Linked DNA regions of Oryzias latipes. The protein of the gene in region 4 purifies or fractionates together with the protein of the main gene of each other region. This does not show direct contact. Links are inferred from orthologs where the notes say so. Each region holds a gene or a part of one and is shown on either strand. Other genes may lie near its edges.

Region 1 (4,627 bases), on a different chromosome or scaffold from region 4:
CAGTCCTTTGCGATATGCAATTTGCACAGCTTGATGTCGCAATAACGATAAATTTGCAATATATTGTGCAGGCCTAAATCATTAATTTTTATTCATTAATTTACCTTAAGTTCTCTCTTCCGGTTCTTTTCTCCAGATCCTTTGCTGCCACGGCTGCTTCTACTTTCCTCAAGAGCTTCAAAAAGACGTTCAACAAATCCACCAGCTGAGTCTTCGAGGAAGGGACGCAACTGGTCTGAGGACAATTAAGAGTCAAATGATTAACAATGTATTCAACAGTTCGTTGATAATCATTTCTTAATATAAGACCAGTGTTTTTCAACCTCTTTTGAGCCAAGGCACACTTTATCCTTGACAAAATTCCTGCGGCACACAAGCATCCAAAAATAAAAAAAAGGAGAAACTCTATAGTCTGTATTGATTTACAGTCCCTCCGCAATCACAGACATTTTTGTGATAATTGTGGCAAAAAAGCTGGAAGTTGCAGCAGTTTTTTCTAAAAGATGTAATAAAAGTTAAGTTAGTTTTCCGTAATAACTTTCAAATAAATTAATTGAAAATTTACCCTGGTAGATGTTTTTTCCCCTCCAGTTTATTAACATGCAATTTCATGTAACCTCACAAAAAAACAAATACATTCTTTCTAAATAATATACTTTTTACAATTTTTTTTCAATGTTGGTGCAAAGGCAACTGTAATTTTTGAACAGTTATATGATCACAATATGATTGTTAAGTTTTACACACCAAAACTAACATATTTATGTTTTCTGTAGCTACATCAAAAGTGAACATGTTGAAGTTTTATTAGTTTTTCTCTTGTCTTAATCAAAGATTAATTCTTTGAAAACTTTAACAGAAATGTTTTATTTCTTTTTAGATTATTAAATTGTTTCAATTCTGTTTGATTGTGTCTCTCGGCCACTTCAACATTATCCTATTTCTTACAGACCTTATAAGAAAAATGTTTCATTAATAAAGATGACTTGGACCAAACTCTGGGATGTTTGGATGTTATTAAAAAAACACAAACCTTGAAGAAAACTAAACTGTTGACCTTTGATTTAATAAAGAAGATTTAAAAACTGATGTGTGTTTGTTGTGGTTTCAAGACGTTTAACAGGGAAGACTCGTCCGCTGAGACGCTGTCACGTTAACCCAATGCATCATGGGAAATGTAGTGGAAAAAGCTAAATCAGAACAAGGAAGTGATGACTTTAACCACTTCTGAGAGGTCAGACTGTTGACGCAGGATTAAACCTCCAAGAATGATTGGTGGAGGGGTTAAAGGGGTGGGACTTTTCCAAAAACAGAGCTGAAGCTGCGGCTAACTCGCGGTACCGCCATTCGTTCATTCATGATCTTCTTCCGTTTTGTCCCTTTCGGGATCACGGGCTGCCGGAGCCCATCACTTGTGGGCGAAGGCAGGGGACACCCTGGACAGGTTGCCAGTCTGTCGCAGGTCACACACCCATGCACTCTCACAGTCACACCTAGGGACAATTTAGAGTTGTATGAACGGACAGGTGGGAGGTCGCTGTGGGAGGAAGCCGGAGGCCCCGGAGAGAACCCACGCATGTACGGGGAGAACATGCAAACTCCACACAGATAGGTCCCCCATTGATGTTCTGGTTCCCCCAGCTGGGACTTGAACTGGGGGCCTTCTTGCTGTGAGGCAAGAGTGCTAACCACTGTGCCAACGTGCAGCCTTATCAAAATGTCTTTAATAGAATCAAATAAACACAAAGAAAAAAGTATTTTACGATCTTTCATATTCCCAACTACTTAGTGCTTTCTTGGGGCCTGTTTGGATGAACACAGAGCTGATATCCTAGATTTGGTAAATGTTTTTAGATCAGTGAAAATGGGTAATATCACACGGCACAACGGTTGAAAAACACTATTAGACTAAGACCATTAGTGACTGTAATCATAAGCAAATGTTTACGGGAAAGCTAAAAGCACCAAACATTTGACAAACAAAAGAATCTCTTAAAATTTTTTACGAGTTTGTTTTTGCTTTATATTATAAGACTATCTTAATGTGCAACCTCAAAACAAGATGAATAAGAGACGCTTAAATTCAGAAATGCACAAGTAACTGTGTCATCAAAGATGGAATAAAACAGAACAAAAAAATGAAAATAACCACAACAGAATTAATTACTAATGATTGAAAACTTCTTTCTTCATGCAAATGAGCATGGAATTTACCCGTGGTCTTCCTTTTGTCCAATCCTTTCCCCACACAGTGTAAAGCTGCAGTGACCACCGTGGGCTCTGAAAACCCCAACACCTTCTTCACAGTGCGCTCCACCCACGGTCTCAACTCCTCCACCTCCCGCTTGGGAAGAGACATCCTTCTGCCCTTCAAAACACAGCACGCAGATGTCTTTTTTAGTTCTTGTTGGAACAGGAGTCCTATTGTTGACAAAGTTGATGAGTGAGAGCTACACAAGTGGCATTATTAATCACAAGCCATGACACAGAGAGACCCTCCTGCGTGTCAAAAATGTCGAACACATTTGAGGACAAGTTTGCCTTTTGTCATAAAAAATGAAAGTTAAGTTAACAAAATGTTGCTTCATATCAAAACATATCAATAACCAGACTAACCAAAATAGCAAACAAGCTAAACTCTACTAGCTACTTGCGCCAAAACTCATCGACCGCTGCTAGCACACGTTAGCATATTGCTACATTTGGGAGCTACCGAAATCTGCTAATAGCGGCTTAAAGGTGGATACAAACCTCTCAGTTTTGTCTACAATCCTCTTTACTTTAGATATACTCTAAATTACCCACAAAAAGAATCTAATTTCAAGGGTACAAATCTCTAAAGCCTGAACATTTCTTTCAAACTTTCTGATTAGCCGCTCCGTACATGTAACGTTTCTTCCACGAGACCCGGAAGAGGAAATGACGTAAATTCTTCTTCTCGACTTATCCTTCTCAGTCTTTTTACCGTGCTTTGTTTGATTTTCGCCATCTATGTCATTTCTCTTGCAGTTGTTTATGCGCTTTCATAAAGGCACTTTAAAAAATAAAAGTCAAAACCGCTTCTATAATATATTTAAAAGTGTTCATTAAATATTAGCAAAAATTCAGCAAGTCAAGGAAATTCACCTGACAGCTGACAACACAAAGGAATTGTTTTGTCTGTAAAGTCTTGTTAAGGGATTGAAAATGTATTTGCCTAGCTGGCCAAAGTTAAATTATGTGCAAATATTTTCTTCCATACATTTTTTGATTAAATAAGGCATATTTTATAGGAAATAGTCCAAAGTGAAACTTAAACAATCAGATTGCATGATATTCTTTCTTTTTTTTGATATTCTTTTTTTTGTTTCTTTTTTTTTATATTCTTTTTTTGTTTCAATTAAACTTGAGAAACGTTAGCCTATTCAATAAGTAGCTTGCATTTAGTAAGCAGAATACCTTTTTAAGGTACTTTATACTGCACATTTTATAATATATTTTACAATAGTAATTTCAGTGATAAAAACAATGTTTATTATGCATTGTGAGTGTTCTTCTGCATGTGTGTTATGAAAATTATAACTATTATTTATACAAATGAGCAATGCAAGTATTTGCATTTTAATTTCTGTCCTAGTAAAATGTAGTTGTGTTACCACAGATAAACACAAACATTTTTTAAACCACTGCTAACAAAATCTAACCAAACGTAAGAGAAAACTGTAATACCACAATATAGGAGATTTTTGCATTTTAAGACATGGGCAAATTTAATTGCAGTTCCAAAATGTAGTGGCATCATCTTTTTGTTCATGAAGTGAAAAGTTTCTTTGAATGGTAAATCACAATTTTCTGCTTAGGCTACGCATAACCCTTAAGTTCAGTCTTAAGTTAAACATTACTCAAGCACTGCACTTAGATACTCGGTCAACTTACAAAAAAAAGCCCCCCCCCCCCAAAAAAAAAAATCTTTGGCTTATCAAGTGCTTTCCTTCCCACTCCACTCCAGATCCGCCCCTGGGTGTCTATTGGTTTGCGTGATGTGGGTCAACTGAGTGCATTTGTAGTAGAGCGAGCCTGAATGAGCAGTGGTGAGCCTGAGGCTACCACACAGTGGCTCTTCTCTGTATAATAATCCATGTCAGTGCTAACAAATTGCAATTTCTTTTGTAAAAATGCTCTGCAAAGCTATTTACACTTACTAGAAAAATGTAATACATTAAAATAATTGTCCCAATGAACCTTTAAAATAGTGGTGGACAAAACTGTTGGTATCCCTCAGTTAAAGAAAGAAAGTCCACAAGGCTCACTGAAATGACTTTAAACGTTCAAAAGTAACAATAAAATTATAAATTCAAATTAATTGAAAATTAAATAATCAAAATCAGCCATTACTTCTGAGTTGTTGATTGACAGAATTATTAAAAAAAAAAACCTAATGAAATAGGGCTGGACAAAAATGATGGTACCTCCATGAAAGACTGAGAACTAATTGCCCAGGGAGTCATGATGAACTCAGGTATGTCCTTTAACTGACATCACAGTTGTTTTTAAACTCATGATCAGCCAGTCTGCCTATTTAAAGGGAGACAAATAGTCACGTTGCTGTTTTGTGAAAAGGTGTGAACCACACTGAACATGGACAACA
Region 2 (4,886 bases), on a different chromosome or scaffold from region 4:
GGTCATTCTGTTGGCATGTTTCCTGATCTCAGTCAGCCCCAGGCGCTCTTTCATTTTTCGATACCTACAGAACAAACATAAAGGGCAGCTCAAACCAAAGCATTGACTAATAAACACATTCAATATCTCTTTCACTAAAACATTACATCTGTGATAAATTCAACATTTGTCACAATTATGCAGATTAATTGATTGTACTGCAGTTTAAGATATTACAAAATACTTCAAAGTAAACTAATTGGACAAAAATGAACTGAGTAGGGCTGTCCAAATAATTGTATTTCTCCATTTAGTTAGTTCTTTGTTAGACAAAAGTATTTCTATATCAAAGATGTTTAAAACAACAATTACATTGCAGCATATTTTTAAAAGAACTCTGGCAAAAGAGCAGTTTTTGAGAATTATAAAATTCCTTAAATAGTTTTGAAGCCATTGACTATATTTATAATACAAACAGAGGTTTTGATGAATTTACAGGCAATTCTATCAAATACTAATAACCATAAGTGACTGACCTCCTTCCTCCTCTCTTCTTTCTCTGTCCGTCCAGCGGGGCTGGCAGTGGTTTGACCTGCTTCACTGGTGGAGGTTCCTGCCATTTATCAAACTTTCTCTCTATTTCTTCTTTTAGGTCATAGCCAACCTGCATTACAAAGGGAGTTGAATAACAGAGACAGAAATTATATTTCTGAATGTTCCTTTAATTTGAGATGTTTACCTTTCCATCTGGACTCTCGTGGAAACTGTCTACTCGAGAAGCCAGAGTGCATTTCGCGGCCACCAGACGAGCTGCCTTCCTCCTAAGGTCCTGAGGGGGGAGAACAAAAGGGGAAAGGAGATAACTAAGGCAAACAAACATTAGATGTGGAAAAGGTACTTGTTATTCTTGAATATGGTGTACTGACAGGAGGCAATGACTGCACAACATCACAGTGGTAGATGTAGCCCGTGTGAGGAAGCAGCGATGTGCTACTGAAGCCTGACAGAGTTTTCCTTTGGGCTCCCAGCAGCATCAAGTTGCAGGCTGGCATCTTTGAGAGGTTTGTTAGGCCTCCAGCAATGCCTTCAGCCAAACAGGGAAAAAAATTCAAAAGTAAGAAAAAAAAATGTATGGGCATAAAAAAACTTGATATTTTCTAGATAGTTTCACTTCCTCACCCATGATCTTTGCTGCAGTCGATGCTCCCACAATGATTGACAGGTTTGGAGCTATAAAGGACATTCTGGACTCTACATATTCATATATCCTGTGTTTTGACTGGTTGAGCTCCAGAGCCATGTCACAAGCCTCCTCAAGCTGCTTCAGCTCATCTTCCGTTAGCAATGACCTTAAGAGGAAAACAATAAAATATATAAAGGGAGTGTCTATGTAAATAAAATAAACAACAGACATAATAATGGAAATGTTAAAAAAAAAAGTTTATTGTAATAGGACACAAGTACCAACATTCTTAAACTTACCCCTGTGTAGTTGATGCAGTGACACTGACGACCATAATGGTGGCATTGGTTAGAATTTGCTGCAGGGTTTCATTGTTTTTACATTTCTCCAGGTTGTTTCCCAATTCCTTTATACGAAGCACACATTTACAACAAAAAAAGGGGGAAGATTTAGAGGTTAGATGCAAAAAGAAAAAAACAAACCTATGCAGAATAATGGAAACCATTCAGCAAATCTTTTCTTTTAATAGAAGAAAAACAAAATCAAAAATTTGATATCCGGTAACTTCAACGTCTCCAAACTTATCTTTTAAGATCAACAAACCTTGACTGTGCGAATGTAATCTAAAGAATCTGGAACCAAAGACTCAAGCTCTGGAAATCTCTTGGAGTATTTGTCCCTTGTAAACTTGTGAATGATGTCTGAAAAGACAGGAGAAACACAGACCTCACACTTTCAGTTGAAAGAATCCAATTTCTTCATTAGGTTTTGTCGCACAATAAAAGTCCAACTCACTAAGCTCATTGTCAATTTCAACTGTAAGATTGTTGGCTGCAACAATCAGCCTGTATTCTGGGTCAGCCTCAACTGGTCCTGAAACTGAAAGAAAATACAGGTAAACAGGAGAAAAAGAAATGGAAGTAAATCAGTAACATTTTCTGTTAAAATGCACATTTTTTCAACACTCACCATCTGAATTCTTGCGCTGTTTTCCAATATATCCAGATATTTTTTCAATTATATCTGAAAACTGAAAACAAGCAGTTAAAAGGGACTGCCTTCAGGTAGTGAAAAAAAGGAACTCTTTATGAGAGTCAGCTAAACAAAGACCTGTTTGCTATTGCGGAGCTTGGCGATAGACGTAATGCTGTCAGTTTTACTGTAGTCCACCTCCATCTCTTCGGGGATATCTTCCAGTCTTTCTGTCCTCCCTGAAGCCCCCTCTCCATCACTCCCTCCTTCCTCCCCCTCTGGGTACAGCCCATCTTCCCCCTCATCTCCAGCTTCCTCCAGGTCAGCCAGAAGCTCGTCAGCCAATGACATCTGCAATCAGAGTAAAATTCATGATCCATCTTCTAACAATGCATCTTTCAGCTTAAACGAGAGTAAAAGTGTGGGCAGTTGTTAAATTTGTGTTTATTGCAATTATTTTCAAAAGGAAGTAGATCTAACGAAAGTCTATCAGTGTTATTTTTTATAAACATCCCGTTGAAAAAAACAAAAACTGATATCAGTCTGCTATTCTGTGTTAGCTAGCTAAAGTTAGCAAACGTTCACCAAACGTCATTCAACACTGAAAAATAGTAACTTACGTCGCACTTTCAAAATGAAGTAAAACAAAACAAAAATATATTTATATTTTTTTAAAAGTCACTTTAGACAGGAAGGGTTCTAATAGAAGCCAATATAGGTAATGCTACTTGTGCGGCTTCTTGCTCCTGTTTACAACATAAAGCTCACGATCCGGGTGGTTTGTCGCAGAATAAATACGTCACGATTTCCGCATGGGATTATGGGTAAGTATCCCCTTTCCTTAAGAGATGAGAAAATAACATACGGGCTTCTTTCTAAAAATGAATGTTCGGTCTTTATGAGTTTACTTGGTTGCTTTAATTACCTTCTCTTAAAAAATGTGTAGTAGGTCGCAACTAAATACATATTTATTCGAATAAGGAGTTACATTTCAGGCCACAAAATAAAAACACAGGTTTTTTTCTAGTATTCCGAAAATGACTTTACTATAACTCTTCTTTTATTTGTAGTTCTTAAAATATTGTTTTAAAAATATTTTTCTATTCTTAATTTATTTTATATTATTTATTAGACCCTTAAAAGCTACCTGTACATAATAGGAAGAGAAGTTAAAAAAACAACAACAAATAACTAAATAAATGACTAGTAAGTTTCTGTGACAAACTGTTAAAAAAAACGTATTCAAAAGTGATGGGACAAAGTAAGAACTTAAAAACTTTACATTTTATATTTAAATTGCGTTTTAAAATATTTACACACAAAATATAATACATACATGGCAGCAAAGTACCAGTCTTGCATTCAGGAAACTAGAGTTTGGTTAACTTTTTTTTTTTTTTTTTTTTACAACAATTTTAATAAATTATGATACTTCACCATAGCACACAAAAACTTTATAGAAATAAGACAATTACCTTTACAATCAAAATTTCATTCACAAAACAATGGGCCACAAATTCTTTATCAATGGACGTTTATGCTTTGACCAATTGTGGTTTCCCACTTTATTAGACTTATATTTATTAACTGTTCTATTTTATACATTTTATTCTGTAACTGACTTCTGCTTTCAGTAGAACATATTTAAATATTACTTCTAATTGACACAATATAGGGACTCAGAAAGGACCCTGCCCTTGCAACAAATTGGTGAGGTATTTGAACGAATGAACAATGACTGGGACATGACCCGTATTGGATAAGAGGCTCACATTTTGTAGTTTTTATTGTACATCCTCCCCTTTGAAACCCAGTTTTTAAACAATACAATTTTAAACCAACATTTAAACAGACTAAACAAATGGACTAGTTGGACCTCAGCTGCATGATTGATGGCTATTAGTAGAAAATGAAATAAATTAACAAATACACAAGCAAATGGTCTTATTTACTGATGAGCAACTGTTCTGTCATGCTAAGCTACATAAACGGTCATTAAACAAGATAAAGAATGACAAGACTGCTAATAATATAAACATGAAAATAAGGAAACATTACAAGACATAATTCAGTACAGTACAGATTGGCAAGTATTAACAAGTAAAATTATACAAAATAGTTCTTTTTTCCAGCAATTAAGACGTTTTGGGAAAATATTTTATTTGTCATGGAGAGCTTAGACAAGGTATACCTTTAATGTATCTTGTCCCAAATTAAACCTAAATTCCTGTTTGCTAAAAGCACCAAATAAATAGATAAGAATAAACAAACAAATAAATAAGTAAATAAATAAATATGTTTACCTAAATAATTAAACATTGGAATAAATACTGGAATTTGCAGGGAAAAAAAACAACCCAGACAGAACTTCTTTAATAATTCGTGCAGTCTAAGAATACACCTAAAAGTAAAAGCTAAAAAAAAAAAAGATATTGTATACACCTGTATTATGATATTTGTACAAAGGTTAAGAGATAACCTCAGATACCGGAGTCCAGACGTTTTTTTTTCAAACTGCTGTCTATAAGAACAATTGACTGCAATGAAAAACCTCCTCAGTAAAGATTAGACTAGAATCCAAGCATTTACATTGACAGATGAATTCCTAAAGAAAGTGCATCCCTTTCAACAACAGGGACCTAACACAACTGAATGAAGCAGGAAAAGAGAAGGTAAGCTGGTACACAGCAAGACTCCCACTGCATAGCTGTCAAATTTGTTTTAGATTTTACAAAGCCCAGGGTTCCTCTCC
Region 3 (4,588 bases), on a different chromosome or scaffold from region 4:
GAGCCAATGGGTACTTCCTGTTTGGAACGCCGGTACCTAAAGCCTAAAAAATTTTATGTCACTGGGACGGGAAAACGTTTTAGTGTTGCTCTGGGGGCGTGGCCCAAAGTGAAACTTTTTAAAAATGAAAGGAGCTCACCTGTCCTGGTGTTTTTGTGCCTTTTTGGTCATTTTTCCTGCATGTTCAGCCGCCAAATTTGAGGTGGTTTACAGAAGAGAAAGTAAGAATAATAATAACTATATTTTTTTGTGATTCCGATGTGTTTCCTGTGTGTGCTCGGATGATATTAACAGTTTCGTTGTGACTTCAAGGGTCAAGTGACAACATTTATTCATTCTGTAAAGTCTTTTTAGAATAGGGTTAGTTTTACATGATAGTCTATAGAGAAACTCTGTTTTTGCTTTTAATGATCCACTTATCTACCTATCCATCCTCAGAACCCACTGAATCCTTTAACTGAGCAACTGTTGAGTAAAGTTAGTGGACCACTACGTCACTGTGCAGCCCTATATTTGATGAAAATGAATTAAGTTAACAGTTGCAGAAAGACTCACTCTATCAAGTATGTATCTTGTAATAAAAGAATTTCCAAAACATAGGAAAATTCATAAAAGGAGTAAATGGTCCAGAGTTATCTCACCTGTTTGTTTTTTATCCTGAACTAGAGTCCACTGAGACACCGTCCACTCCACAGTTTAAGCACATTTAGTGGAATTTACCCGTGTCAACAACAGAAGACCCAGGAGCAACGTCTTAACTTTCTCAAAAACAAAACAAAAGAACTTTTGAATTAATAATTATTTTAAAGATAAAACTGTGTACATTCAGTTGTGATTCGTTGCTATAGAGTTTTCTGTTTCAGATCAAGTTCGTAAACCATGATGAGTAAAGAAGCTGAAAAGATTTGTTAAAACATCTGAGTGCTCGACACTGCCCCCGTGTGGTCTTTCATCAGAATACAGAAAGAACTCTTGAAACAAAACGGTCACAATTGTGTTCATTTTCTGATTTTTATTGCATCAAACTGTAGATAAAATCAGAAAGACATTGGAGAAGAAACAGAATAAAACTCCAAATGGCACTGGAGACCAAAGGTTCTTTAAATTAGAAGACGTAAACAATAAATATATCCAGTTTTCATACAGAAAACTTTCAGCATTAAAGCATGAAAAGCATGCTTTCCTTTGACCAGTATAGAAAAACACAATTTCTTTACAAAGATTAATATCGTTATTAATATAGTTTAGGTTCTATGTTTTTATTACGACCCTACGTTTTTTTTTTGTTTTTTTTTGGTGGCCCTAAAACTCCGTCGTAATTTATAAAAGAACATTGAGGAACAAACTTAATCCTGATTAAAAACTCTTGCAGCAAATTATAGACATTTCAGGTTTGTGTTTGTGTGTGTTTTTAAATCACAGTAAAGGTCTGCATACTACAAAAAAATAAAGTTTTGAGGTACAAAAAGTATCACAAACATGTCTGGTAGCTAGACTAGAAGCTAGACTAAATCTGAATTAGACTTTTGATATTTTATTCAATTTTTTAAGAGATGGCTCATAATGTTTTTTATGTCTTTTTTTTTTAAAGAAATATGAGTGAAAGCCTAAATTTAAATCTCGGTCAATGAAAAACACCTGATAGTTCCTTAATAAACATTGAACGACAGTGTGTCTCCCTCTAGTGGCGCAAAGTGGTACTCACTCACCGCTGAAACACGGCGCAGGCTGATACGTCATCAACAGCAGCCAAACCTTCTGTAGAACACCACAGCCAAAATGGTAAGGCGTAAATCGTCATTTTAAAATGTACTTTTTTAGTTTAAGTCAAACATTTTAGGTTTCTGAGTGTCAGAATTCTTCTGAATTTCTTTTGTTTTGTCGCTGAGTTTGCTCGCAGTGTGCTGAGCCGCTTTGTCGGCCCATCATCGTGCTAACATCGTCTTTTTTTTAAAAAAAATCTACAGCTTTTCTACTCGTTTTTCAAGTCTTTGGTTGGGAAGGACGTGGTGGTGGAGCTGAAAAACGACCTCAGGTTGGTTTTGATAACTCAACATACCAATTTGTTTGGTAATGTTTCTTTTCAAAGCGCCGTTTGTGGTTAAAAATGGCGCGTGGTTCTGCTAGCGCTGTTTGAATGGGTGCAGTGAAGAGCTACTTAGCATTGACAGAGACATTGACTCTGTCAGAGTTGCTGTCTTTCCTTCTAGCTGGTGTTTTGCATCTCATGCTGGTCACAGTGGCGTGGGGTTGCCATCCCTTCCTTCCAGCATTTGTTGCAAATCTGGCTCAATAGGTTGGTGCCAGCAGCGTGAAAAATGTACTTTTTTTCCTGTTAGTTTTCTGAGCTAACTCTTGGTCTGCAAACGTGCTGCAAATTCATTTTAGACCTTTTTCCCGAAGAAGTAGGGTCAATTGCGGGGGTGGGGGTGGGGGGTCAATCAAACTAGCTGCATCTCATGATGAAAGCTCAAAAGTAAATATTAAAATTAGCTTACAGTTAGTTGTTGGGCATTCTTTAAAGACGTAACTCATAATTCTTAGCTCCTCTCACAGATGGACGATACTTAGACATGTGGTACTTTTTTTAAAAACCCATCCAAATGAAAAAAGTGGTTTTGATGCCATAAGCTCCCTGCTCTGCTCCATTCTGATGCATCCACTTGCAGGCAAATAGATTTGTCCGTCTTTGTTTTCCTGGTCTGAGCTGGCACAAATAACTGTACGGCTGGATTGCTCCAATATTACTTTTTTTTTCTTTTTTGTTGCACACCTAATGTTGGGTTAAGGGGGGGGGGTTGTAAGTTAGCAAAGGATGATGGGAAGATGGGGCAGGCTTGCTCTGCACCAACGATCTCAGACAAATTTCTAGTGAACAACTGCTGCTCTGCAGAAACTGTCCTAGAAAACGACGCAGGTTTTTTTTTTATTTTTGGCTAAAAACAGCACATTTAAAGACCACTAGGAGCGCTTTAAAAAGATAAGAGTGGGATATAAGAAAAAACAGACTTTCCTGCAGCATTGACAATAGAAATAAATTTACTGAACAAAAACTTTGACTTGTTCAATACAAATTTGCATATTCCCAGAAAGTCATTTAACATCAAAAGTTCACTGTTGCATTGAAAGCTTCATTTTCTCTTTTTCCCCCCAGTATCTGTGGGACGCTTCATTCTGTTGATCAGGTTAGAAAATAATTAATTCTTTACTTTTTTTAATTAATCAATGTATTGGTTTGCAATTTAAAAATGTTGTTCTTGTCATCATCTAGTACCTGAACATCAAGTTGACCGACATCAGTGTGACAGACCCAGAGAAGTATCCACACATGGCAAGTCCTCATCTATGGTTTACTTTTTAGTCTAAAGTTTGCATAGAGGCCTCTAAAACATACAGTTGTTTTTATTCTTTTATTTCCTTCTGTCAGTATAACAAACATTTTTAAAGTTGTCTGCTGGGTGAGAAATGTAGAAGCACACCTTTGGAAGTTCAGTTTCAGTGTAGGGCAGAGCAGACAGCAGTTCTTCAGGTAAACAGCAAAGATTTAGAAACATTTTTCAGAGTTTCTAAACTACAATTTTTCAGAAAAACATTTAAAAATATGCAGAAGTTCTACACTCACTGCCCACTTTATTAGGCGCACCTTGCTAGTACTGGGTTGGACCCCATTTTGCCTTCAGAACTGCCTTAATCCTTGGTGGCAGAGATTCAACAAAGTTCTGGAAACATTTCTCAGAGAGTTTGGTCCATATTGACATGACAGCATCACACGGTTGCTGCAGATTTGTCGGCTGCACATCCATGATGCCAATCTCCCGTTCCACCACATCCCAAAGGTGATCTATTGGGTTGAGATCTGGTGACTGTGGAGACCATCGAGTCCAGAGAACTCATTATTAATAGATGATTTCAGCTTTGCTGCGTTCAAAATCACTTAAATCACCTTTTTTCCTCATTCTGATGCTCGGGTTGAACAGCAGCAGATCATCTTGACCATGTCTAAATGCATTGATTTGCTGTCATGTGATTGGCTGGTTGGAAATTTGTGATAACGAGCAGATGGACAGGTGTGCCTAATAAAGTGGCAGGTGAGTGTAAATGTGGTTATTTGACCCGTGAGAGTGGTGGGAAAAAGAGAAGTGTTAGCTTCTGAATCCCCTTGGATGTGTTCATTCTCTTCCTCTGGAAGGCGCCCTGCCTGACTCCGTGTCTCACGTGTTTCACGCTCTCCAGCTGTCTGTGAAAAACTGTTTCATCCGCGGCTCGGTGGTCCGGTACGTTCAGCTGCCGGCAGACGAGGTGGACACTCAGCTGCTTCAGGACGCCGCTCGGAAGGAAGCCATGCAGCAGAAGCAGTGACCGGGGCTGCGGGTTCGGGGAGGGGGGCTTTAAGTCATGGGTTCTTTATAGTTCAGTTTGAAGAAGACCGCTGTGAACCGCCTCCACACACTGCGCCGGTCGATGGAGAATTGAGTGCATTCCTGATGTTGGCGATGGGCCAACTGCAGGTCTGTGGGTTTATGGACATTTTCTTTACTTCTGAGGCGGTTTAGGATCTTTGTCTTTTGTTTCATTCCTATAGAGTTTG
Region 4 (2,990 bases):
TCCTGCAGCGTGAATGCCAGGTTACTGATGAACACGCTGCAGCAGTCGTCTCGGAGCTCAGACTTGTCGTCGATCTGCTTCTCCGCAGCGTCCCCGTGTCCAGGCGGGACTTTCTTCAGGCCGGCTGAAGGTTTAGTTCTGGGAGCGTTCCTTCCAAAGAGCCCGGTCTCCGTCTCCATGTACTCGTCTGTAGTGCCGTCTACATTCCCTCTGCGCCTTTTAGGCCCTTACAACATCATGGAAAAGAGAAACTTTGTGACAACATTGTCAAAACATTAAGTTATTTTTCCTTAAAATAACCTTTACCCGAGTCTTTGTTCCATTCATCCTGATCCTCTTGTTCTGCTTTTCTCTTCTCACCAGCTCCCCTCTGATCCTTTTTCAGACCCTTCTTTTCTGCCTTGACCTTCCGACGCTGCTCAACTCGTTCCTCCTCTTGGCGAGCCTGGTTGGCTTCTTTCTCAGCAGCCTGATTTTTGGAGGTTATGATCCGGATATGCTAACATTAGCTCCATGCGATGCTACCATCCTGTCCAACACACATCAACACCTTCCTACCTTGGCTCGTTGCTCATTAATCCGGTTCATCCTGGACTCAGTTTTCTGCACCGCTGTGTCCCAGTCCTCCAATGAACCTGGATGGAACCTTTATATAATTAATAACTCAATCTCTAACAGCTATGAGATCTTTAGTTTATCTGTTAGATAGTTCATCTCATATACCACTAACTGTATTTAACTTAATAAAGCAACAGAGTTGATTATATAATGCTGACATGAGATTGGAGGTGTAAAATTGTGTTACCATGAGACTCACCTTCTACCCTTTCAAAGGTGAGCAGGACGTCACAGACGTGTTCCGGATAGTCGGTGGTGCACTGAACTGCTCTGTGGAGAGCTTTCCGGCAGTGAACAGAGTCCCCATAAGATCTATGGTTTTCAGAGAAAGCTTCTTGTCACTGCTGCAAAGTGTTTTTCTCTCTGGATTTGGGGGATTACCAAACAAACCTTTCAAGATTGTAGTATTCCAACCACATGTTGGCATATTTGGAGTTCCCCTTAGTCATGATGTTATCCCACAGCTCTCGGGCTTTTTGCATGTTCTTGCAGTGGAGGGCCTGGTGAGGAACAGAAAAAGAATTTAATGCCAAATTAAAATCCCAAAATTTGAAAGATACTGTTCAAATATTCCAATCAAAACTTCCTGCTTCATTTTTCAACAACCAAATTCTCAGCTTTCACTTAATTTATCTTAAATTGTTTTATAGAATTCTCTTGGTTAAGACTTGAGTCCTATTTTATTTTTACCACCAATATAATATAATTTAAGATTTCACACTTGAATCTGGTTTAAGCAGTAGCACCAGTTACCTCTATCCTTGCCCAAATCTGCATGACGACACAGGAAGGGTCTCCACTTTCCCCAAATCCTGAATTTACACCGAAATATAAGTTAGTGATGAAAAAAGCTAAATGAGAACTTCAACTGACAAAATAAAGTAAATAAACAATAGATTTACTTACTTTCTTCAACATCTTGTTTCATGTAGTCTAAGCATCTAGAGAAGGCCTCTCGTAACTCCTCCAATTCTTTGCTTGATTCTAAAGAAAGAGTTTAAATGATTCCAATTTCTTATTTTACCAAATGTGACGAACACAGCAGCTCTCACCTTTACTGAAATCCACGCGCCTCCTCAGGTAGTCCAGGTACACCTGCCAGATTTCCACATAGTCTGTTGCTTGAATGAAGCCTGCATTCAGTGCTTTCTCAAAAACATCTGAACAAAAGACAAAAGAAGAAAATGAAACTCAAACACACAAATAAACTAACTGTCCCCATTAACACACACGTGCTTCCTCAACTTTAATAACTCAGCATCTTTGTAAAGAATTAAACATTTACAGCTTTTTTTCTAATATGTATATAGAAATAATAGAAAAAAAATTACTATTTGTTAACTTTAGCAAGTAACCAAATATTCTTTTATTTTGACTAGGGCTGGGCTATAAGGCCTAAAAATAAAATCTCAGATTTGATTTGATTTCCGATTTTCGGCTACAGTTAGCTGTTTTTTTGGTCACCGCGGTTTTGTTCGCCTCAGAGAGACTGGCCTTTTTCATATTCCGCTGGATGTCTCTGTTCCAGGTGTTGGAATAGGATTGTGGTGCTGCTGCCTTTGACTGCGATGGGCTTTAGGCAAGTGTTGCAGCATGGGGGGGGGTCTCTTCCTCCACGTCTGTGGCAGCAAACCCATACCAGTTCCAAACAACAGATGATTTTATTCCTTTCTTGGGAACAAACTTCCCACTCTCACCGGTAGCCATGTTGCCGCTTGCTGTTTCGTGGTGCTATGATGTTGTTGTTTGTCGCTTGTCATACTGCCGTGTGAATTAACGCTACAGAAGCTCCGGGGAGCCAAAAATGCACCGTTGCAAAAAAACTCAATTTAGTTATTTTTTAAATCACCCGTAACAAAAAATTCGAATTAATTCATTCGATTTTTCTCCCTAAATGAAAATTTCAAGGAAAAAAACATTTTCTTTAACAACTTTTTTCTCCTCCACTGTTTAAAACCATTTTAATAAGGAATTAAAAGTTAGTCATCACACATGTGGTAAATGTCACAGGTAATCAAACTGGTACCTGACACAGTGTGATGGTCTGCTCCATGCCTCTCTAAAGCCAGCAGGTAGCTCTTCCACAGACTCATGGTCCAGGGGCAGTTCCTAACAGCCCGCTCATGAGTGGACAGAACCAAGTCTTTAACCTTCAGCTGGCGATCCTAAAAGATCAAAAATAAAAGACAAAAATCTAAGCAACACTTTTTTTTTAATTATGTTTTCATTTTTCTTTCTTAATTGGCCAATTTACTAAAATGCTAAATAAACAGAAACAGGCAGCTGAACTAAAACAAATACATAGCAAAAATTTCATTCTTTATAGACTGAACAATAATCAATACTCACAAGATACTTGGTGCATTTAGACC

What was found. Proteins that work in one complex are often made in the same cells at the same time.
Region 1: the proteins of sart3 (region 4) and prpf3 purify together in Homo sapiens (affinity purification with mass spectrometry; 5 studies listed by BioGRID and IntAct, counting the BioPlex papers as one, with this or other methods). This does not show direct contact. The link is inferred for Oryzias latipes from reciprocal best matches to the Homo sapiens genes SART3 and PRPF3.
Region 2: the proteins of sart3 (region 4) and prpf31 purify together in Homo sapiens (affinity purification with mass spectrometry; 6 studies listed by BioGRID and IntAct, counting the BioPlex papers as one, with this or other methods). This does not show direct contact. The link is inferred for Oryzias latipes from reciprocal best matches to the Homo sapiens genes SART3 and PRPF31.
Region 3: the proteins of sart3 (region 4) and lsm2 purify together in Homo sapiens (affinity purification with mass spectrometry; 3 studies listed by BioGRID and IntAct, counting the BioPlex papers as one, with this or other methods). This does not show direct contact. The link is inferred for Oryzias latipes from reciprocal best matches to the Homo sapiens genes SART3 and LSM2.

Annotation. Positions count from the first base shown.
Region 1 is NC_019874.2:18,946,438-18,951,064, reverse strand, and holds the start of prpf3 (U4/U6 small nuclear ribonucleoprotein Prp3), read right to left. Parts: upstream 2,928-4,627; 5' UTR 2,752-2,927; intron 2,369-2,751; 5' UTR 2,360-2,368; coding exon 2,215-2,359; intron 236-2,214; coding exon 105-235; intron 1-104. UniProt on the Homo sapiens protein: Plays a role in pre-mRNA splicing as component of the U4/U6-U5 tri-snRNP complex that is involved in spliceosome assembly, and as component of the precatalytic spliceosome (spliceosome B complex).
Region 2 is NC_019874.2:19,364,157-19,369,042, forward strand, and holds the start of prpf31 (U4/U6 small nuclear ribonucleoprotein Prp31), read right to left. Parts: upstream 2,928-4,886; 5' UTR 2,755-2,927; intron 2,486-2,754; coding exon 2,273-2,485; intron 2,193-2,272; coding exon 2,132-2,192; intron 2,042-2,131; coding exon 1,958-2,041; intron 1,864-1,957; coding exon 1,766-1,863; intron 1,569-1,765; coding exon 1,462-1,568; intron 1,329-1,461; coding exon 1,159-1,328; intron 1,064-1,158; coding exon 906-1,063; intron 809-905; coding exon 719-808; intron 644-718; coding exon 516-643; intron 65-515; coding exon 1-64. UniProt on the Homo sapiens protein: Involved in pre-mRNA splicing as component of the spliceosome. Required for the assembly of the U4/U5/U6 tri-snRNP complex, one of the building blocks of the spliceosome.
Region 3 is NC_019862.2:27,136,333-27,140,920, forward strand, and holds the start of lsm2 (U6 snRNA-associated Sm-like protein LSm2), read left to right. Parts: upstream 1-1,661; 5' UTR 1,662-1,779; coding exon 1,780-1,782; intron 1,783-1,967; coding exon 1,968-2,035; intron 2,036-3,154; coding exon 3,155-3,185; intron 3,186-3,271; coding exon 3,272-3,331; intron 3,332-4,233; coding exon 4,234-4,359; 3' UTR 4,360-4,588. UniProt on the Homo sapiens protein: Plays a role in pre-mRNA splicing as component of the U4/U6-U5 tri-snRNP complex that is involved in spliceosome assembly, and as component of the precatalytic spliceosome (spliceosome B complex).
Region 4 is NC_019867.2:12,883,223-12,886,212, forward strand, and holds part of sart3 (squamous cell carcinoma antigen recognized by T-cells 3), read right to left. Parts: coding exon 2,968-2,990; intron 2,784-2,967; coding exon 2,645-2,783; intron 1,779-2,644; coding exon 1,671-1,778; intron 1,603-1,670; coding exon 1,525-1,602; intron 1,431-1,524; coding exon 1,372-1,430; intron 1,119-1,371; coding exon 1,009-1,118; intron 931-1,008; coding exon 818-930; intron 636-817; coding exon 559-635; intron 470-558; coding exon 307-469; intron 227-306; coding exon 1-226. UniProt on the Homo sapiens protein: U6 snRNP-binding protein that functions as a recycling factor of the splicing machinery. Promotes the initial reassembly of U4 and U6 snRNPs following their ejection from the spliceosome during its maturation.